Linked DNA regions of Arabidopsis thaliana. The protein of the gene in region 1 purifies or fractionates together with the protein of each later gene. This does not show direct contact. Each region holds a gene or a part of one and is shown in the gene's direction. Other genes may lie near its edges. The genes, in order: AT1G63210, MCM3, AT4G32175 and AT2G25355.

What was found.
Region 2: the proteins of AT1G63210 (region 1) and MCM3 fractionate together in Arabidopsis thaliana (co-fractionation; one large-scale study listed by BioGRID). This does not show direct contact.
Region 3: the proteins of AT1G63210 (region 1) and AT4G32175 fractionate together in Arabidopsis thaliana (co-fractionation; one large-scale study listed by BioGRID). This does not show direct contact.
Region 4: the proteins of AT1G63210 (region 1) and AT2G25355 fractionate together in Arabidopsis thaliana (co-fractionation; one large-scale study listed by BioGRID). This does not show direct contact.

Annotation. Positions count from the first base shown.
Region 1 is NC_003070.9:23,441,735-23,447,880, forward strand, and holds AT1G63210 (Transcription elongation factor Spt6), read left to right. Parts: upstream 1-1,953; coding exon 1,954-5,229; intron 5,230-5,302; coding exon 5,303-5,620; downstream 5,621-6,146. UniProt on the Arabidopsis thaliana protein: Transcription elongation factor that enhances the transcription elongation by RNA polymerase II (RNAPII).
Region 2 is NC_003076.8:18,769,133-18,775,315, reverse strand, and holds MCM3 (Minichromosome maintenance (MCM2/3/5) family protein), read left to right. Parts: upstream 1-1,612; 5' UTR 1,613-1,709; coding exon 1,710-1,772; intron 1,773-1,867; coding exon 1,868-1,968; intron 1,969-2,156; coding exon 2,157-2,365; intron 2,366-2,464; coding exon 2,465-2,595; intron 2,596-2,687; coding exon 2,688-2,926; intron 2,927-3,000; coding exon 3,001-3,237; intron 3,238-3,338; coding exon 3,339-3,493; intron 3,494-3,606; coding exon 3,607-3,815; intron 3,816-3,899; coding exon 3,900-4,059; intron 4,060-4,145; coding exon 4,146-4,342; coding exon of another isoform or gene 4,343-4,354; exon of another isoform or gene 4,355-4,425; coding exon 4,426-4,485; exon of another isoform or gene 4,486-4,572; coding exon 4,573-4,662; coding exon of another isoform or gene 4,663-4,674; exon of another isoform or gene 4,675-4,754; coding exon 4,755-4,957; coding exon of another isoform or gene 4,958-4,961; exon of another isoform or gene 4,962-5,047; coding exon 5,048-5,267; intron 5,268-5,357; coding exon 5,358-5,414; 3' UTR 5,415-5,667; downstream 5,668-6,183. Other genes in the region: KASI (3-ketoacyl-acyl carrier protein synthase I), read left to right, coding at 1-117, 227-340, 440-589, 661-727, 810-877.
Region 3 is NC_003075.7:15,533,429-15,538,120, forward strand, and holds AT4G32175 (PNAS-3-like protein), read left to right. Parts: upstream 1-2,005; 5' UTR 2,006-2,126; coding exon 2,127-2,177; intron 2,178-2,260; coding exon 2,261-2,335; intron 2,336-2,471; coding exon 2,472-2,558; intron 2,559-2,933; coding exon 2,934-2,990; intron 2,991-3,371; coding exon 3,372-3,464; intron 3,465-3,574; coding exon 3,575-3,647; intron 3,648-3,731; coding exon 3,732-3,807; intron 3,808-3,895; coding exon 3,896-4,109; 3' UTR 4,110-4,174; downstream 4,175-4,692. Other genes in the region: CYP96A2 (cytochrome P450, family 96, subfamily A, polypeptide 2), read left to right, coding at 344-1,864; PANK2 (pantothenate kinase 2), read right to left, coding at 4,296-4,388, 4,473-4,544, 4,644-4,692.
Region 4 is NC_003071.7:10,799,368-10,804,251, forward strand, and holds AT2G25355 (PNAS-3-like protein), read left to right. Parts: upstream 1-1,723; 5' UTR 1,724-2,023; coding exon 2,024-2,074; intron 2,075-2,166; coding exon 2,167-2,241; intron 2,242-2,482; coding exon 2,483-2,569; intron 2,570-2,765; coding exon 2,766-2,822; intron 2,823-3,166; coding exon 3,167-3,259; intron 3,260-3,570; coding exon 3,571-3,643; intron 3,644-3,762; coding exon 3,763-3,838; intron 3,839-3,927; coding exon 3,928-4,018; intron 4,019-4,101; coding exon 4,102-4,224; 3' UTR 4,225-4,355; downstream 4,356-4,884. Other genes in the region: AT2G25350 (Phox (PX) domain-containing protein), read left to right, coding at 1-221, 339-503, 624-866, 990-1,331; AT2G25360 (RING/U-box superfamily protein), read left to right, coding at 4,882-4,884.

The DNA of each region.
Region 1 (6,146 bases):
GGAGTGCATGTGCATTCTAAATTACTAGAAAACACTAATTGAGTAATTGTAATGACCACGGGTCCACGGCCTTCTCGACCACCAACACGTTTTGCATTCTTGAATGACCGTGCTTTCAAAATTTGCGTGTACGTAGCATGTGAACATAGAGGGTTACAAACTTGCATCACTTTTTAAAAAATCATCATGTGATAGCATAAGATGACAAAAGAGAAACGATGTAACAAACAATATTGTTTTTGGTTATCCAGTGGAGATGATTATACTAATATATTCTGCAGAATCACTCTATTTTTGGACACCTTTTAGCCAATATTAGAACAATATCTATTGGAACCCACCCAACGACACGTCTTCACGAATTTCTCAACAAAAAAAAATACTTATACCAAAAGCTAATTTTGTTGAGTGTGATTTTCAAAAGTAAAATGGTTGAAAATTCAAGACACTTCTTTTCATGAATTAATAATGCATATACAAACTCCATGTGATTTCAGTCCGTTTGGTTTTTCCATTTTTTTCTCATTTTTCGTAAATAGAAATAACCTCTAAGTATTCTATCGTGTAAGAAAATAATTTAAGTCTAGAGAAACACCTAACCTTTAAATTAAAAATCATTAATTTTATAGAATAATTTCTTTTTTTTGGCAACGTTAAGCGCCTTAATAACTAGGCTTAAATTAAATCCTTTTTTCAAAAGATGTGATATAAGAAATTATCAATAGTAATTTGGTTTGGTGTTGGGGGAGTGAGTGCCCGTTGTAGTTTTGATCAGTCTGGCGTTTGCTTCCGGTTTGGTGCTGTTTGTGCTAGAGTTTCTAATTGGTTCGTGCTTCTAGTGATCTAGCAGTCTCTTCTAAACACTTGTCTTTGGCTCAAACTCGGTTTCTATTGATTCAAGTGATCGTCGGTCTGGTTTGCTTCTTTACTTTTTTCAGTTCTTAGGATTCATTATCCCATCCTCCGTTGTTTGCTTGATCTTTTTTTTTTTTTTTTTTTTTTTGTTTTGCAATTCTTAATTGTTATGGTTTTTTGTGCTATGAATTTTATTAAGTGTTTTCGGTAGATTCTGCTTTAGTTTTCGAGAATTTCTTTGTTTTTTATAGGTTTAATATTTTAAAAATATATTTCACCTATATATTTTATCATTAGTTTATATAATGAAAAAATTAGTGGAAAAAAGAATTATCAATATAAATTTGTATGAATATGAAAAATAAATCTCTTAATGAATCGAAAAAAATACCAAATATATTAATTAAATATCAGCTAAAAAAAGAGTTTCATAAATATTTTTAAAAATAAGAAATGCTTCAAAACTTCAATTAGTAGCCTCTTAATGCTGGTGTGAACCCTAGAAGTACGAAAAGCCTTTTTCTTTGTTTCTCTTCGCAAAATTCAGAATCAAATAGAGACTAGTTTTACGATCACAGAGTTTCTAGGGTTGATCTCCATCTTCATCGATTTCGTATAGCTAAATATTCTAACCTAGTCATGAATAGGATCGACGAAGGTACATAAAAAGCTCTGCTTTCAAAAGCCCTAAATTCTCTGTTATTATTATTTTTCTAACGATTCGACTCTGTTTTTGAGACAGAGCCCCAGATTCATGAAGATCCAGTGGAGAACCGTGAGGAAGATGATGAAGACGAAGATGATCAGTATGAGTTTGACGATGGGTTTTTAGTGAATGGTTCTGATGATGGAGAAGAAGAAGAAGAACAGAGACATTGTAGTGAGAAAAAGAGTAGAAGTCGAAGGAAGAAAGACGAATCCTTTACTCTTCACGAAGATGATTATCTACTTCTTAAAGATAACAACGACACTTTCCAAAGAAACAAGTATAAACGTTTGAAGAAATCTTCAGAGGAAGAGGATAAGATCAATAATGATGATGATGATGATGATTTGAGTCACTTCATTGTAGATGAAGATGATCATGGTGCTCAAGGAATGAGGAGGAAGAAAATGAAATATAAGCAAGGAACTGATTCGAACGCTTTACGATACGCTAATGATGTATTTGGTGATCCTGAAGAATTGTTGAAACTTCGGAAAAAGGATTTGAAGTATAACGAAAAGATCGAAAGAAAGTTAGAAGATGAGTTTGAACCAATGGTTCTCTCTGAGAAGTATATGACGGAGAAAGATGATGAAATTAGGAAGCTTGATGTTCCTGAGAGAATGCAGATATTTGAAGAAGCCATTGGAATTGTTTCCCTAGATGACATGAGCATTCAAGAAGAGAGCAACTGGATTTATGCTCGATTGCTTCAAGAACAAGGGCAGGGTTGTTTGATTAATAAGGATGACATTGTGAAGTTTTTAGAGATGTTTCATGTGCAGAAGTTAGAGATACCGTTTATAGCTATGTATCGGAAGGAGCAGTGTCGGAGTTTATTGGACAGTTCTGATGATGATCATGATGGTAGTGATTTCAATCTTGACAAGAAGCTTGAGACCAAGTGGCATAAAGTCTTGTGGATGATTCAAGATTTGGATAGAAAGTGGGTTCTTCTGCGGAAAAGGAAAACCGCGTTGTTTGGTTACTATACCAAACGTTTTGAAGAAGAAACCTGCATGTCTGATCTGAATAAGAGTCTTTTTGAATCTGTTATTAAGTCTCTTCAAGCGGCGGAGACAGAGAGAGAAGTTGATGATGTAGACTCAAAGTTCAACTTGCATTTTCCTCATTGTGAGATCGATGAAGGACAGTACAAGAGGCCGAATAGGAAATCGCAATATAGCATCTGCAGCAAATTTGGGATTAAGGAATTTGCAAACAAGTTTGGTTATAGCGCTGAGCAATTGGGACTAGCGTTGTCTCTTGAGAAAGTTTTTGTTGATGAGCTTGAAGATGCAAAGAAAACACCAGAGGAGATGGCATTGAACTATGAGTGTGCAATGTTTGGAGATTCTCAAGCTGTTCTTAAAGGTGCAAGGCATATGGCTGCGGTTGAGATAAGCTGCGAGCCATCGATTAGAAAGTATGTTCGTGGAATTTTTATGGAGAATGCAGTAGTCTCAACGAGTCCAACACCAGATGGGAATGTGGTTATAGATTCCTTCCATCGGTTTTCTGCGGTTAAGTGGTTAAGCGAGAAGCCATTGAGAAAGTTTGATGGTGTACAATGGCTTCTCATTCAGAAAGCAGAAGAGGAGAAGCTTCTTCAAGTAACTTTCAAGCTGCCTGAGAATCAGATGAATAGGATAATTAGTGAATGCAGTGAACACTATCTAAGTGTTGGTGTTAGTAAGTATGCTCAACTCTGGAACGAGCAGAGGAAATTGATACTGGAGGATGCGGTTCATGGTTTTGTTTTGCCGTCAATGGAGAAAGAAGCAAGATCCTTGCTAACTAGCAGAGCGAAGACTCAGTTGCTTTCAGAGTATGGACAGGTTTTATGGAACAAAGTGTCTTCAGGGCCATATCGAAGGAATAATAATACCTCGGAGGAGGAAGCTGCACCGAGGGTCCTAGCTTGTTGTTGGGGACCTGGAAATCCAGAAACTACATTTGTGATGCTTGATTCATCAGGAGAGCTGGTTGATGTGCTTTACTCAGGTTCCATTGGATTGCGGTCTCGGGATGTAAATGACCAGAAACGTAAAAAAATGGATCAAGATCGTTTTCTAAAGTTTATAAGAGACCATCAACCAGATGTTTTGGCTTTAGCAGCTGTTAATTTGAGTTGTGTACGCCTGAAGGATGAGATTTATGAGGCTATATTCCAAATGGTGGAAGAGCTGCCGTTGAATTATGTAGATGATAGGATTTATGATTTTCCATTGGTTTATGCGGATGAATCTCTTCCTAGGCTATACGAAAATTCTAGAATCTCAAGTGAACAACTACCTCAACAAGCAGGAATTGTGAAACGCGCAGTTTCTCTTGGACGTTATCTCCAGAATCCATTAGCAATGATCTCAACTTTATGCGGTCCAGGTAGAGATATTCTGTCTTGGAAGCTTCATTCTTTTCAAGATTTTCTTGATCCAGATGAGAAGTATGAGATGGTTGAACAAGTTATGGTTGACATAACGAATCAAGTTGGAATCGACATTAATCTGGCTGCGAGCCATGAATGGCTTTTTTCTCCTTTACAGTTTGTTTCAGGTCTTGGTCCTAGGAAAGCTGCATCTTTGCAGAAGTCTCTTGTTAGAGCTGGTTCGATATTTGTCCGCAAGGAACTGATAAATCATGGGATTGGTAAAAAGGTATTCGTAAATGCAGCTGGTTTCTTACGGATTCGTAGGAGCGGGTTGGCTTGTAGTAGCAGCCAATTTATTGATCTGTTGGATGACACTAGAATACATCCCGAATCATACGGTCTTGCGCAAGAATTGGCGAAAGATGTTTATGCTCATGATACTGTAAGAGGTGATGAGGATGATGCAATAGAGATGGCGATAGAGCATGTGAGAGATGAGCCAGCTTCTTTGAGGAAAATCGTTCTTGATGAGTACTTGAGAAGCAAGAACCAAGAGAATAAGAAGGAAACTTATAGTCTGATCATGAGAGAATTAAGCTGTGGATTTCAGGATTGGCGGAGTCTGTTTAAAGAGGTTGATTCAGATGAGGAGTTTTATATGATTTCAGGTGAAACCAAAGAAACTATTGGTGAAGGGAGGATTGTGCAGGCCACTGTTAAGAAAGTGACAAGTGGTAAAGCCAAATGTGTATTAGATTGTGGATTACCTGGGATTCTCTTGAAGGAAGATTACTCAGATGATGGTAGAGATATCGTTGATTTGTCTAACAAACTGTGTGAAGGCGATATCGTTACTTGCAAGGTCAAATCGATTCTAAAGCAAAGGTATCATGTGTTACTTGTCTGCAAAGAAAGCGAAATGAGAAAGCACAGGAATCTCGGGGATGTCGATGATTATTACCACGAGGAGAAACGAAATAGTGTCCTGATAGAGAAAGAGAAAGTTCCTAAAGAAAAGAAGCAGTTTAAGTCTCGGATGATTGTTCATCCTCGGTTTCAGAACATCACTGCCGAGCAAGCAACAGTGTATTTGTCTGATAAGAATATTGGAGAAAGCATTGTTCGTCCAAGCTCACGAGGACTGAATCATTTGACTTTGATGATCAAGATTTCTGATAATGTGTATGCTAACAAGGAGATAATCGAAGGTGAGAAGGAGAACAAAGATATAGTGAGCTTACAACGTATTGGGAAAACACTGAAAATTGGGAATGAAACCTTCGAGGATCTAGATGAGGTTCGTCTTTATATTCTTACAAAATTTCAGTTTTGGTACAAGTGAAAATACTTATGCGTTTTCAATATTTCAGGTAATGGATCGGTATGTTGATCCTTTGGTAACTCATCTTATGACAATGCTAAACCACCGGAAATTTCGGACTGGGACAAAATCGGAAATAGATGATCTTCTTCGGGTTGAGAAGGGTGTGAATCCGAAAATGGTAGTTTACAGTTTTGGTGTTTCTCATGAACATCCAGGGAGCTTTATATTGTCTTACATACGATCCGCAAATCCGCACCACGAGTACATCGGTCTATACCCTAAGGGATTCAAGTTCAGGAAAAGAATGTTTGGGGATCTTGATAAACTGGCTGCTTATTTCAAGAGACATATCGATAATCAATGAACTTGAAGGTACTATTTATCATGTATTCATGAATTTTTCCACTCCTTAGCCCAAAGAATTTCTTAGACTGATTGCTTGCTTTGCAAGAAACCTATATGGGAAATAATAGTTTTGTTTTTGGAACGTTAATTAGGTCTGTTGTTTAGTAGAACTATACAAGTATTCAACTTAAATTTCGTCAAAAGTGTGAAAGATCCCACAAGAAATGTGAAGAGACGAAAGATTTAATTAGTTAGCTTTGTTTATTGCGGACAGAGTGTTGTTTTCAATTCTAACATCTCTGTTTTGTTTCATGGGTTTTTCTTTTCCGTTACTTTTGGGTTAAATGATTGTTTTTAGATTCATTTATGTAACTAATGATGTTCTCTTACTTTTTTTTTTGCAGATTGATTTTAAGGTATGGTTTTTGCTGATGTTTGGTTCAAGCACAAGAGCTACTTTAGTATAGTTAACTTTATATCAGTGACTTTTATGTTGACAATTCAATTACGCCATGAGTCAATTTACTTTTTCCTACTCTCTTGTG
Region 2 (6,183 bases), on another chromosome or scaffold:
CTTGGAGGTGCTGTTAATTGTGATGCTCACCATATGACTGATCCAAGAGCTGATGGTCTTGGGGTTTCTTCATGCATTGAAAGATGCCTGGAAGATGCTGGTGTATCACCTGAGGAGGTAAAAAACACAAACTTTTCATGCTTCCTAAGTTTTAAGGCTATCTGAAACAAATTTCTTCATTAGATTCGTGTTACTTCCCTACTTATATTCATTCCACGTTTTTCAGGTAAATTACATCAATGCACATGCAACTTCCACTCTTGCTGGTGATCTTGCTGAGATTAATGCCATTAAAAAGGTATTCAAGAGCACTTCAGGGATCAAAATCAACGCCACCAAGGTTCGTCCCCAATGCTCTATGATTGAGTGTTCTTCTTCTCCTCTATTTCAATGTATTTGTTTGCTTTGCATTTCCTGTGAATGACAGTTTCTGTTACAGTCTATGATAGGTCACTGCCTCGGTGCAGCTGGAGGTCTAGAAGCCATCGCCACCGTGAAGGCTATCAACACTGGATGGCTGCATCCTTCCATCAACCAATTTGTACGTATAACAGGAAGTCAAGAAAAGGCTTCTTTGATTCCGCTTTCAGTTTGAACTGTTGCAAGATTTGAACTTGGTCATTGTATTAGACTCTCACACTCTTTGTTTTCTCATTGTAGAACCCAGAACAAGCTGTGGACTTTGACACGGTCCCAAACGAGAAGAAGCAACACGAGGTTGATGTTGGTAAGTGACAAACATGACCGCCTTCTCATTGGATTAAACTGGCAACAGTTTCACTGATTAATGTCTTTCTGTTTTGCTGCAGCCATATCAAACTCGTTCGGGTTCGGTGGACACAACTCGGTAGTCGCCTTCTCTGCCTTCAAACCCTGATTTCTTCATACCTTTTAGATTCTCTGCCCTATCGGTTACTATCATCATCCATCACCACCACTTGCAGCTTCTTGGTTCACAAGTTGGAGCTCTTCCTCTGGCCTTTTGCGGTTCTTTCATTCCCCGTTTCTTACGGTTGCTGAGATTTCAGATTTTGTTTGTTCTCTCTCTTGTCTGCGGAATGTTGTGTATCTTAGTTCGTTCCATATTTGCGTAATTTATAAAAACAGAAACTGAGAGAATCTTGTAGTAACGGTGTTATTGTCAGAATAATCCAATTAGGGGATTCTCATCTTTTATTTCTCAACAATTCTTGTCGTGTTTTTACATTCGAAGAAATTAGATTTATACTGAATTTTTTTTCAGTTATACATATGTTGTGATACATCCGAAAATGTTCTCAAATCACACAGGTTTATTTTGGTTTTCATATATACATTTTTCGGTTTACTGGCTTGAAGGCAGTAGCAAAAGTTAAACCGAATTTACAATGAATTGATTTGGTATGTCTGGTTTTTGGTTTAGAATCTGGGTGTATTATACCGCCTTGAGGAAATCAAACGCGCCAAACAAGCGCGTAGACGTAAGTCCAAAATTGTACCGGCCCAAATTTGGTTAATCAAAAAGCACGTAGACGAAAGGCCCAACTAATATCGGCCCAAAATGACCCTTCCCGCCAAAAAGGGTACAGGTTATCTCACGAAATCCCGCCATAAGGAGAAGATCCGCCCTTTATGCCTCTCGAAATCGGAAATCGAAAATCTCTAATCAGTTTTTTTTTTTTAAGTAGAAGAAGAAAAGTTCTTACGAAGAACCCAGATTTTGTTAAGAAATGGATGTGCCAGAGGAGACGAGGCTTCGCCACAAGCGAGATTTTATCCAGTTCCTCGATAGTGTAAGTCGATTTCTATCACTTTTCTCACCAGACATTTCTCGAGCTTCTGTTCTTATCTAATTTGAAAAATTGGATTTTTTTTACGGATTGTGTAGATGTATATGGAGGAAATCAAGGCTTTGGTACATCAAAAGCGTCACCGTCTCATTATTAATATCTCTGACATTCACCACCACTTCAGGGAAGTTGCCTCTAGGTTCGTCATCTTCTCAATTTGTCTTCCTCGAATTTTTAATCGGTTCTTTAGTATAAGGTTATGAATTTACGGCAGATTTTAGGGTTTTGTTAGATTCAGTGAGGTTAATTTGGGGATTTTTAAGGATTCACTACAATTGTCATATGTTTTGTGACCTTAAAGTTGATTGCTTTGGTTTTTTTGGATAGGATACTGAAGAATCCAAATGAGTATATGCAGTCATTTTGTGACGCAGCCACTGAAGCTACTCGTGCTATTGACCCTAAATACTTGAAGGAAGGAGAGCTTGTCCTTGTTGGTTTTGAAGGTTATTTTGTTTCTCGCGTTGTTACTCCTAGAGAGCTTCTCTCTGATTTTATTGGATCTATGGTCTGTGTTGAGGGCATTGTCACCAAATGTAAGCTCATCATTTTCACTCTATTCCTCTGCTTTTCTTCTGTTTCCTTTGTGTTTTACGTAGAAGATTTTGAACCTCTGACACATGCTTTGCTTTCAGGCTCTCTTGTGAGGCCAAAGGTTGTTAAAAGCGTTCACTTTTGTCCATCAACCGGTGAATTTACCAATCGAGATTATCGAGACATAACATCTCACGCTGGTTTACCCACTGGCTCTGTCTATCCCACAAGGGTAATTACATGTTTTTTGTTTTCGTTTTGTTCATTTACCTGTACTGCTGGAAGATTTGCCTCTTACTGAAGATTGAGTTTTTTTTTGTTCAGGATGATAAGGGAAACTTATTGGTGACTGAGTATGGGCTGTGCAAATACAAAGATCACCAGACCTTGTCAATTCAAGAAGTGCCTGAAAATGCTGCTCCTGGTCAGCTTCCACGAAGCGTTGATGTCATTGCTGAGGATGACCTTGTTGACTCATGCAAGCCAGGAGATCGAGTATCTGTTTTCGGTATTTACAAAGCTCTTCCTGGAAAAAGCAAGGGTAGTGTAAATGGAGTCTTTAGGTGCGTTTTCTTACACATCTGTTAGTTCAAGATGTTTTCACTCTGATAGTCTTGACCGAGTTCTTTCTGTGTAGGACTATCCTCATAGCCAATAATATCGCTCTGCTCAATAAAGAAGCAAATGCACCTATATACACTAAGCAAGACCTAGATAACATTAAAAATATTGCACGAAGAGATGATGCATTTGATCTCCTTGCTCGTTCCTTAGCACCTTCTATTTATGGGCACGCTTGGATAAAGAAAGCAGTAGTTTTACTGATGCTTGGTGGTGTTGAAAAGAACCTGAAGAACGGAACCCACTTGAGGGGGTAAGTCTTGCTTGAAAACAGATTTCAGATTCGACTCATTGGATACTTTTTGTCTAACTCATTTTTCTTTCTTCACTTGAAAACAAATCTTGTGCTTTCAGAGACATCAACATGATGATGGTTGGTGATCCATCTGTTGCCAAATCTCAACTTCTGAGAGCGATAATGAATATTGCACCTTTGGCTATATCAACCACAGGCCGTGGTTCTTCCGGTGTTGGGTTAACTGCTGCTGTGACTTCTGACCAAGAAACAGGTAAAAAGCACACAAAAGCGTTTCCACATTTTTTTATCAAATGCTAAAATCAAAATTTGAAGGAAGGTCAAAAGTGCTATTTCTCATTAAAATCAAATTCTCATTTTCATCAGGGGAACGAAGACTAGAAGCTGGTGCAATGGTCCTCGCTGATAAAGGTATCGTGTGCATTGACGAGTTTGATAAGATGAATGATCAGGACCGAGTTGCTATACACGAAGTGATGGAGCAACAGACTGTAACAATTGCAAAAGCCGGTATCCATGCATCACTGAATGCTAGATGCAGTGTGGTTGCAGCTGCAAATCCCATATACGGAACTGTAAGTTCTCACCGAAGTTTTCCTAATCTACTTACTCTACTGACTAGTATTTTTTTGTCCTAATACCTACTCTTGCTCCTGCAGTATGACAGATCACTGACTCCAACAAAGAACATTGGACTTCCAGATTCGCTGCTTTCTCGTTTTGATCTACTGTTTATTGTGTTGGATCAAATGGATGCTGGTATCGACAGCATGATTTCAGAACATGTCTTGCGCATGCATCGTTACAAGAACGATAGAGGTAGGAAACAAATCATGCTTCTATGTTTTACTAAACATTTCACAACCCATGTCTTGAAACGCATCTGACTTTTGAGTGAACCATAGGTGAGGCAGGGCCAGATGGGAGCTTGCCTTACGCGAGAGAAGACAATGCTGAGAGTGAAATGTTTGTTAAGTATAACCAAACACTACATGGGAAGAAGAAAAGAGGCCAAACACATGATAAAACCCTTACGATTAAGTTCTTGAAGAAGTACATTCATTACGCCAAGCACCGTATTACACCAAAGCTCACTGATGAAGTGAGACAGTGAACTCAAATATATAAATTTTTATGTATCTGATAATCTCTTCCACTAAATCTCTTTTGTTATTAAATTTGCAGGCATCGGAACGTATTGCAGAAGCATATGCAGATCTCAGAAATGCAGGTTCCGATACTAAGGTAATTTATTTCATAAAATAACATTGGACACTGTATCTTTTTCGTCTTGGGAACTTGTATTTGACACAACCATCGAAATCTCTGCAGACTGGAGGTACGCTTCCGATAACAGCCAGAACTCTAGAGACAATAATTCGTCTTGCTACGGCACATGCCAAAATGAAGTTGAGTAGCGAGGTAACAATCTAACTCAAATCTTCTGTTTCCCCACCTGGTCGTGAATATGTTCTATTCAGATTCTTTCTAAAGTGATAACTTTATTTTGAAAGGTTACTAAAGCTGATGCAGAGGCTGCCTTGAAGCTTATGAACTTTGCAATATATCATCAAGAATTAACTGAGATGGATGATCGTGAGCAAGAAGAACGTCAAAGGGAACAAGCTGAACAAGAAAGAACACCAAGTGGACGTAGAGGCAACCAACGCAGGAATAATGAAGATGGAGCAGAGAATGACACTGCAAATGTCGACAGGTAAACTAATTTGATCTCCTCCATGGAAACCTATATCACAGCTTTCTCAACCCTTATACTTTTTTCTTTCTCTTTTGCTGGTCCATTCAGTGAAACAGCAGATCCAATGGAAGTAGATGAACCTTCTGTAGAGCAATTCAGCGGCACGGTCTCTGCAGCAAGGATTGAAACCTTTGAGCGAGTGTTTGGGCAGCACATGAGGACACACAGGCTCGATGACATCTCTATTGCAGATATAGAGACTGTTGTCAACAACAATGGGGTTGGAGCATCTCGTTACTCTGCAGATGAGATTATGGCTCTCTTAGAGGTAATTCACAAATTAAGAGACAAGCTTTCTCATTCTTTAACTTTTTATACAATATCTTCATAACTTTACTCTATTGTGGATTTTATGCAGAAACTGCAAGATGATAACAAAGTGATGATCAGCGATGGCAAAGTTCATATCATTTGATCATATGAAGAAATCAATATTGATTGCATCATCATCATCATATTAGAACTCAAAAATAGTGTAGTAGTAAACTCTTGGAAACCAAAATATCATTTTGTAAAATCTTTATTCATACGTTATGTTTTTTGCATTTACTAGTGAAGTAAAACTGATGATAAAATGCTTAAAAAAACGCATCTGATTATAAAATTTGGAATTTATAACGAAAAGCACAATCCGAGAATAAAATACTTTCATATTTATCCTATAATTTCTTGAGCTGTTTATGCCAAATTTTATACATATGTAATCGACATCAAGATTATAGTGTATATGTTGTTTTAACCCAATGGTAAGAATAGAGTTGTGCCATATATAAGCCAACTTCAAAACCCTAATAATCACTACCTTGGAACTCTCTCGTCTAAAAGATCCATGTTTTTCCATTTGGTCTCTATTACTTTTTTTTTTTTTTTCCAAAACATGTTTGCTTTGTCCATGATGGATCCTATACGTTTCTAAAATTGTACATATAATCAGGTTAAATTCCACAAAGACGGATTGAAATCAGTTTTGGTATACAGAGTAATACAACAAAATCTATTTTTTTTTTTGTTGCCAAATAACAAAATCTATTTTGGTAGGTTACTGCACACGTTTCTCTATCAACCCTAGTCAAAACAATTGAGTTACTAAATAAACTTACGTAGTTAGGCCATACATGTCTCTGATTCAGACCAGAGCTTCTCAGAAATGTTAAGGCCATGAGCAAGAGAAACTTGTCTCCACT
Region 3 (4,692 bases), on another chromosome or scaffold:
CACACTCAAAAGTCTATGTGCGTGAATCCAGCTCATTCTCTAATGGTTTCAATAAGTTTTGATTAGTTGATAAAGTTACAAGGGGCAATTATAACAGTTTTCAAATTATTGAAACACTTAGGTGTATTATCACAAAAATAAAAAGTTAGGTGTCATTGGCAATTTAATACAAGTTTCTAATTTGATGATATACATGCATTAAACGTGCTTTGCAGTTTGTGCATATAACGAAATTTAGTGTGTATTTTAAAAAGCATCTCCTTACTTGTGCCCTGAAGTGTATGCTTATAAATTTAGTTCTCATTGTGTCAGCAAACTGTGTGTTATCAATTGCCTTACTCCAATGGCTTCAATAAGCTTACTTCAAGTTTCCGTAGCTATCCTTTGCTTTCTCATCCTTCATTACTTTCTCTTCAAGAAACCTCATGGCCGGTACCCTAGGAACTGGCCGGTTCTCCGGATGCTACCCGCTATGCTCAAGGCGCTTCACCGAATCTACGACTACAGCGTGAAGATTCTCGAAACCTCTGACTTGACCTTTCCATTCAAAGGACCGCGGTTCACAGGAATGGATATGTTGCTCACGGTTGATCCAGCTAACATTCATCATATAATGAGCTCAAATTTCTCAAACTACATCAAAGGACCGGAGTTCCAAGATGTTTTTGATGTGTTAGGAGACAGTTTCATCACCACGGACTCGGAGCTATGGAAGAATATGAGGAAATCTTATCAAGCCATGCTCCATAGTCAAGAGTTTCAAAGGTTTTCAATGAGTACCATGACAAGTAAACTCAAGTACGGTCTTGTTCCCCTTCTTAATCATTTTGCTGAGGAAGGAACAACTCTTGACTTGCAAAGCGTCTTCGGGAGGTTCACTTTCGATACAATTTTCATCCTTGTAACTGGTTCTGATCCTAGATCTCTCTCCATTGAAATGCCTGAAGACGAATTTGCTAAAGCTCTCGACGATGTTGGAGAAGGGATTCTTTATAGGCATTTTAAACCAAGGTTCTTGTGGAAGCTGCAAAACTGGATAGGATTCGGACAAGAGAAGAAGCTCACTGAAGCTAATGCAACTTTTGACCGCGTGTGTGCCAAATACATATCAGCCAAGAGAGAAGAGATTAAAAGATCACAAGGGACTTCCAATGGAGGAAGTCAGGATCTTTTAACTTCCTTCATAAAGCTAGACACGACCAAGTACAAGCTCTTGAATCCGAGTGACGATAAGTTCCTTAGAGACAACATCTTAGCTTTCATTCTAGCGGGAAGAGACACAACAGCCACCGCTCTCTCTTGGTTCTTCTGGCTTCTCTCTGAAAATCCACATGTGGTAGCCAAGATTCATCAAGAGATCAACATCAACACTGATCTATCAAGAACAGGAAATAGCCAAGAGAATGTAGACAAGTTGGTGTATTTACATGGTGCGTTGTGTGAAGCAATGAGACTCTACCCACCAGTTTCCTTCGGACGCAAGTCTCCAATCAAATCAGATGTGCTTCCAAGTGGCCATAAAGTTGATGCAAACTCTAAGATTATTATCTGTCTTTATGCATTGGGGAGGATGCGAGCGGTTTGGGGAGAAGATGCATCGCAGTTCAAGCCAGAGAGATGGATTTCGGAGAATGGAGGCATAAAACATGAGCCTTCCTTCAAGTTTTTGTCGTTTAATGCCGGTCCAAGAACTTGTCTAGGTAAACATCTAGCTATGACTCAAATGAAGATAGTGGCAGTGGAGATATTACGAAACTACGACATTAAGGTTCTCCAAGGACAGAAGATTGTGCCAGCTCTTGGTTTTATATTGTCAATGAAACATGGTCTTCAAATCACTGTTACTAAGAGATGTTCTGCTTGAAATTATTCATGTATTAAATAAAAAAATCATTTTGGTTTGGTTTTGATTTGGTTCTTAGTTTTTTTTTTTAGTTTTACGGTTTAAGTAAACCGAAATCCTAATATTGACTGGTTCGGTATAGTTTTGGTTCAAAATTTGCGTGCAAAAAAAAGAAGAGACTGTGCAGTGTTGTTCCTTTCTGGGTTCTCATCGTCGTCAAGGAACAAGCTTTAACAGAGTTTAACATATATTAGGGTTCTTATCTCCAAAACCCACCTCACTCATGGCTGCCAAAGTTTCTGTCTCTCCCACAAGCCTCTTAAATCAGATTGTGGTCCGTATATCTCTAAAAAGTTGGCTTTTTTATGATTTCGATTCGATTTGGTTACAATGAAGCATGGTGTTTTCAATTTTTAGGTTCCAGGTGATGTTGTTCTTGATTTGTCAAACATGAATAACCAAACAATCAAGCTCGGAAGTGGCCTTCTTCAGGTTTCATCTTCTTCTCTTTCTTATGTGTTGTTTGAATCCTAACAATTATTCCAGTGGGCACTTGATTTGTGATATACAATTGCAACTAAAAAGGAATTGTAGATTGACATGTGTTTGTTTTTTTGGCTTATTTTAGGATAATGATGCTATCTCTGCCATGAGAGCTGGCAAATTAAGTTACTCCAAGCCTAATAAGTATTGGCTCGAAAGTTCTCATAAACGGGTGAGCTCAGTGGTCTTACTAATCTTCCCTTTCTGGTTGCTTCTCTATTGAGCTTCTTGTGGATTATAACTGTGTCATCTGCTCGGATACTAGGTCCACTTGATTAATCATGAGTAGAAAAGTAACAAATAACCTGGCACAATTGCATCATGAAGAATTGAAGATTTGCCTTTTGTAGCATTTTGACAATTTGATGCTTTTGTGGATCATTCTTGCTAGTTTTCTCCCTAGTTATTTGATCATATACATCTGGCTTGATAAGACAATTTACCATTTTTGGTTTTCAAAACTCTAGTAGAATATTGTTTTGTTAATTATCTATGTAAGTCTCGTTCTCTTTGTTGCTGACTCTGTTATTATGTTTTTTTTTTGCAGTATATACCTCGCCCTGATGATCATGTTCTTGGAATCGTGGTCGATTCTAGGGCAGATGTAAGTCCTTTGAAATCATTGCTTGTATAGATTCTTGTGTTGTTTTTGGATCCCTCTCAGACTGGTCATCTCTGAAAGCATTTTATTATACTTTAGTTGTCAAATACGATACAAATATATGTTTGTCAGTTTCCGCGACTTCAGTCCTCATTTCTCTGAGCCAATAAAGGTGAACTTGTTTGTTGATGGTCTTGGATCAGTAAATAAATAGGTGGGAGTATTGAAGTTATGGTCTAAAATCAGAAGAAAACTGATACCATTATTGGACAAACAAATGTTAATTGACTTTTAAATTATCAGCTGCAGTTAAGCTTTCTTGCATGAACTAACATCGCCTTAGTAAGTACTGAATTGTTTCTTTTACTCATCATGTCATTGCAGAATTTTTGGGTGGACATTAAAGGACCTCAATTAGCACTTTTGCCAGTTCTTGCATTCGAAGGAGGAACACGAAGAAATATTCCCAAGTTTGAGGCATGTACATTCTGATGACTCAGGAAGCTCTCTTGAATTCTCATTTGGGATATGACATTCTCTATGAATTGATTGTTTCTGGAATGTTCAAATTTTTGTGTACTAAACAGGTAGGCACTCTGCTTTATCTCCGGGTTGTCAAGACAAACATAGGAATGAATCCGGAGCTGTCTTGTACCGAGGGTAAGTTAAAAGCTTTGGAGGCTAAAACAGTGCTGCTTCTCTTAATCCCTTTTAAACTAATTGTCTCTTGTTTCTATGTATTAGCTAGTGGGAAAGCTGCATTATTTGGACCCTTGAGAGATGGTTTCATGTTTGAAACTTCAACTGGTCTTTCAAGAATGTGAGATATACTTCCTCATAAAAAATGTCTCCTTATACTTTATCTATCTTCTTTCGCCATTACAACTTTACTTTCTCATCTCTTATAGGCTGTTGAATTCACCAACGCGCCCGGTCATTGAGGCTCTTGGAAAGAAACTCTCGTTCGAGATAGCTGTGGGCTTAAATGGCAGAGTTTGGGTAAATGCGACAGCTCCACGTATAGTCATTATCGTGGCCAATGCAATAATGAACTCGGAATCTCTAAGTGGGACTCAGCAGAGAATCATGGTTGAGAAATTGCTCGCGATAATTTCAGACTAAACGTTATTGTTCTTGAAATGTAACTGAACCCTCATGATGCTCTTTATAGCAAGTGATTTTGATTCATTCAAATACAATTTTATACAGTAAAAGTGTAGTCTAAATAAAAATACATATGCCACATGACGAATGCTTAATCTGTATACAACAGTAGTCTAAAGGTTGAAGAAATGATACATAACATTGTTAAAGCGAGGGAGGCTCGTATCTGCATACACAATCATATATGTTTCCTTTTATCAACTTCTCAGCCAATCTCTGATTTTTAACCATTGCTAGCTGCCAAAAAGGAAGAGAAGGTTTCAGCCAAAAGTTTCAATAACAGTTCTAGAGCTGAAATTTTCTGTCAAGTGAGGTTTAAACCTTGAGAGCCTCGCATTGGAATTGAGCGTTGAAGTTGGTGTGAAGTGCTCTTCCCATACCTTCCAAGACAACCTGCAATATTGTTAAACATCAAATAAAGAACAAAGCTTCTCTTTTTTGATGTGTTTGAAGTTTATGTCAGGTAGAAAACAGAGAAGGTTTTGTAGATACAAGATCAGCGTCTTTGGCAGCGGCTGCAAGCTCAGAGCTGACTTGTCTG
Region 4 (4,884 bases), on another chromosome or scaffold:
CCATTGTACATAGCCAGCTGGATGTTAATCATGATATATCTGTTGGTAACCTGGAGATACCGGGTAATGGACGAATAGTTCTCCCGCTGAAAATGCATAGTAAATTAAATAGGATTCTATTAACTATGAATGAGAGACTTCTCAATTCAAAAACAGACATGGAGGATCTTATAGCGAGACTAAATCAAGAGACAGCGGTGAAGGAATATCTGAACAGAAAGGTACATGATTGAAAATAATAGTACATCTGTTTTCAAGTTTGTTGGTAATGAAATCTGCGCTTCTTCCTTTACTCTTCATGCGAATGTCATATATGTAATCTTGGTTTTCCTGTTCAGGTTGATGATCTGGAAGTGGAACTTGAAACTACTAAACAGAGAAACAAAGAGAATTTGGAGCAAGCTTTGATGACCGAGAGACAGAGTGTTACCAAGATGCAGTGGGATATGGAAGAACTCAGGCAAAAAACTTTTGAGATGGAACTGAAGTTAAAGTCAAAAGAGGTATTGAAATTTGAAATAGTTCCATCTCAATCACATTCTTTCCACAATTAAGCAAGTTCACATCGAGCGAGTAATTTATATCTAGCAAAGTAACTTACTGACACCTGCAAACTAATACAGGATGGGAGTTCAGATTCTAAGACGTCAGGAAACTCAACAATCTCTGAGAGCCATGAGCTGTTACAAGAAATGGATGCCACAAAACAGCAACTGGAAGATCTTTCTAGACGGTATGTTGAACTGGAGGCAAAATCAAAGGCAGACATAAAAGTGCTTGTCAGAGAGGTCAAATCCCTGAGACGTTCACATATGGAAATGGAAAAGGAACTGACTCGATCGCTGACAGAGAAGTCTGACACTGAGGTAAATCTTAAGCTTGTAAATAAAAAGCATTATATTATTGCTTGCATCATCCGCTTGTGGTAAATGTATATGATCCTACAGAAAGAACATCAAAACATACTGAAACATGTTTAATTTTTTCAGAAACTCCTCCAACAGGAAAGGATAATAGTCGAGAACACGCTAGAAGCAAGAAGAAGGCTGTATAGTGACTGTGAAATTCTCCACGACAGGCTTAAAGTGAACAACACAAACTTGTCAATGGATGAGTCCAGTAACAACAGAGAAGACTTATCTGAAGTATCAAATGCCTTGCAAGATCAGATTGAGGTAAGCTATTGGTGCATCTCCTTTAATATCTGTAGCAAGAAAAATCGTATTCAAATGTTTACATTCGATAACCATGGCTCAAAATCGCCAAGCTGGATTCCTCGTTTTAAATTTGAAAGTGGCATATTTTCAGGCGCAACTGCTGTTAGGGTTTGATGAGACTGCTTCTGAGGATGAGCTGAGGAAGATAATGGCAGATATGTATGAGGACTGAGGAGAATATCAAATTGAGAAAACATTTGAATTCCGCAATGCAGGTTAAGAGCTCTGTGAAAGAGGAAAACGAAAAACGCAGAAGGTGAAGAGCTTATAGAATAGATATACCATGTACAGAGAAAAGTAGAGCAGAAAGTTGGTTAGTGACGTAAATCCCTTATTTTGAATATGCGAGTCAGATTCTTCTTTATGTAATTAATTGATGTATATGCACACACATGTCTACATCAGATCACCTAATCCATTGTAAAATTCGAAACCATCAGTGTCATTGTTTCTTGTTCACCAAAAACAACTACCATCCATCACTCATGGTCCACAGAGCAGTCGTTGAAAATCAGTGAAAGAAGTGTCATTTTGTCCCAAAAAAAAAGGAAGGACGAAGGAGACTTTTTAGTTGACCAAATCATATGGATCTACTAAACCGAAATAAACCACTCATAACCATTATAGTAAATTACTTGGTTCGGAGTTTTTAATTTCCGATCGTCTTCAACATCACCAAAGCAAAAAACTTTAGGGTTTTAGTGTTTTTTAGGGTTCTTCTTTCTCTCTACCTCTCAGTTCTGCTTTTGCTCTGTCTCCCTTCATTGGATAAATCAATTGGTGTTGTTAGCGAAGAAATAAGAAAGATGGGTACTGAAGTTTCTACCTCGCCGACAAGCCTCATTGATCAGACTGTTGTGCGTATTTTCTACTAAAACCTCTGCTTCTTTGATTATCGTTTTAGATTGGGATTACATTGAAAGATTAAGTTTTGTGAGATGGGTTTCAGGTTCCAGGTGATGTTGTTCTCGATTTATCAAACATGACTAACCAAACAATCAAACTCGGCAGTGGTCTCCGTCAGGTTTTTAACTTTCTCAAAATCACTTGTTCCAAATCTTCGATCATTTTTTTGGAGTTTGAAATTTGTTGTGTTGAGTGTATGAATGAATTAATGAATGTTTTGCTCATTATTAAACAAGTTATGTTGAATTTTGGATCTTGCATTGGCATTTGAGGAATAAACTTAATTTGGAATCTACAGTTTGCTTTTTGTTGGGCTTGCAAGGCTAGAAGATTGACATATGATTTTGAGGTTTTTTCAGGATAATGAGGTGATATCTGTTATGAGAGCTGGGAAGTTGAGGTACTCTAAGCCAAATAAGTATTGGGTGGAAAGTTCTCATAAAAGGGTGAGAACTAATTAGTTTCTTGCTGGTTGTATTTTGCAATAAATTGGTACCTTTTTCCTGATATCTCCTAGCTCTACTAGTTATTCGATTGTTCATCTGCGCTTAACTTGTCGAAAAAGTGGTGGTTTTGCTCTCTAGTTTGAAGAATTACTCCATGTTACTCGATTTTGACTCTGTTATTATGTTTTTTTTGCAGTATGTACCTCGTCCTGAGGATCATGTTCTTGGCATTGTGGTAGATTGTAAAGGAGAAGTAAGTACTCTAAAGACGATCCTTAAATTTTTGTTAGAGATCCTTTTCCCTTGGACCCTCTGAATCAAGCATTTTTTCTCTGTATACAGTTCATTTAATGCAAAAATCATGTATAAAGAATATTGATTTCGGTTGTGCTCTATCATTATCCAACTTCTATCATTGCTCAGCTTGTTTGTTAGTTACATGTATATGTTAATAAATACTTGAGATCATGGATAAAGAAAACGGCATAAGCCTTTATTTAGAGTGTTGCCCCTAGAGTTCTCAGCCAAAGTCATGTTGCATGTAACAAAGTAGATCATAATATTTTGAAAATCGTTTTGACACATGTTTCATTGCAGAACTATTGGATAGACATTAAAGGACCACAATTGGCTCTTTTGCCTGTGCTTGCATTTGAAGGAGCAAACAGAAGAAATTATCCCAAGTTTGAGGCAAGTACCTTCTGAATATACTTCTTCAATCTGAACCATCATCAAAATAGTCTCTAGCTGGTAACTGCATTCAGTTGTTTGAGATGTTAGTATTGCCATTACAGTGTATTGAGAATTTCCCTGGAAATTACAATGGCTTGTGTGTGATATTGAAAGGATCCAGTACTTCATTGGTTTGTTTATGAGCATAATAGGCACTTTTACTTCGTCTGGAGTTGAGCTCATCAACTCTATTTCAAGTGGATTCGCTGTATTAAGTGATAACATAGTGATCACGTGTTTTTGGGAGTTGTGACAATTTGTTGATACAGGTAAGCACTCTGCTTTATACTCGGGTTGTGAAGACAAACACAGGAATGAACCCGGAGCTGTCATGTGTAGACGGTTAGTCCATCCATTCTTTTTTCTCACAAAGTTTAAAAAGTTAAATCATTTCCTTGTTTCTCCGCATTAATTGTTTAGACTAAGCAATTGCTGACTAGAATTGTTGGACAATGTAATAGAAAGTGGAAAGGCTGCAGGATTTGGTCCCTTAAAAGATGGTTTCATGTTTGAAACTTCAACTGGTTTATCTAGAATGTGAGTTTCACTCTTATTCCTTTATTTTTCTTCTAGATGAAGTGGCCTCTTCTCGACTTTTTCTCACTCTTACACTTTGTTCTTATTAGGTTGTTGAGTTCACCAACTTGCCCGGTCCTTGAAGCTCTTGGAAAGAAACTCTCGTTTGAGACTGCGTTTGGCTTAAATGGGAGATGTTGGGTAAGAAAAACAGTGATTGCTTCTTAAGAATCCAAACAATGCAACTGGAAATCGCATGGTTAATATCTTCTGTCTGGTTTCAGGTGCATGCGGCTGCTCCTCGTATAGTGATTATCGTCGCCAATGCGTTGATGAATTCTGAAACTTTAAGCGGGACACAACAGAGAATCATGGTAGAGAAATTGCTGGAGAAAATTTCAGACTGAAAAGTGTGTTGTATGCTTAACAGTATCACTACTTTATAAAAGAAACGTTTTAATTCGCATCTCTTTTTTTAGTATGTAGACTACACTCATATGTTTCTCTTTGAGATAAAAACAAACCAAGATTAAAATTTAAAAGAAACAACATGATTCGTCTAACGATAAATTGATAAGTTTTGGGAGATGGATTAGAGGAACTAGGGTTTGGCAATATTAATTGAAAAATCAATCGATACCAATACAATAACAGTTACAAACATTACGGTGCCTTCATAGCAAAGCAATTAATAAGAATTTATTTGACAACTTCTCTCTTATATATAAGTCTTCAGATTTTCCTACTTGAAACCAAAACGACATGGAGAGACGCGATCAAGACTTGAGTTACTAAAAACGGCGACTAGATTCTACCATAACCGGAGATTTCCCAAACCCTAAAGGCGAGGGTTGTTCTACAGTCGTCCTATCCGACTCTGCTGTGAAGAAGTTTTCAGACAATGTCGTCTACAGATTGTACACCAAGGGTTTGGTGGTGGAAGGTAAGGAAAAGACCGTGAAGTCTGGATTAGAGTTGCGATTTGCGATGAGAAGGAGAATTTGTTGTATGAGATTAAAGAATCACTAAGCGACACTAAGATTAGCTGCATAGAAGTAGAGAGCATG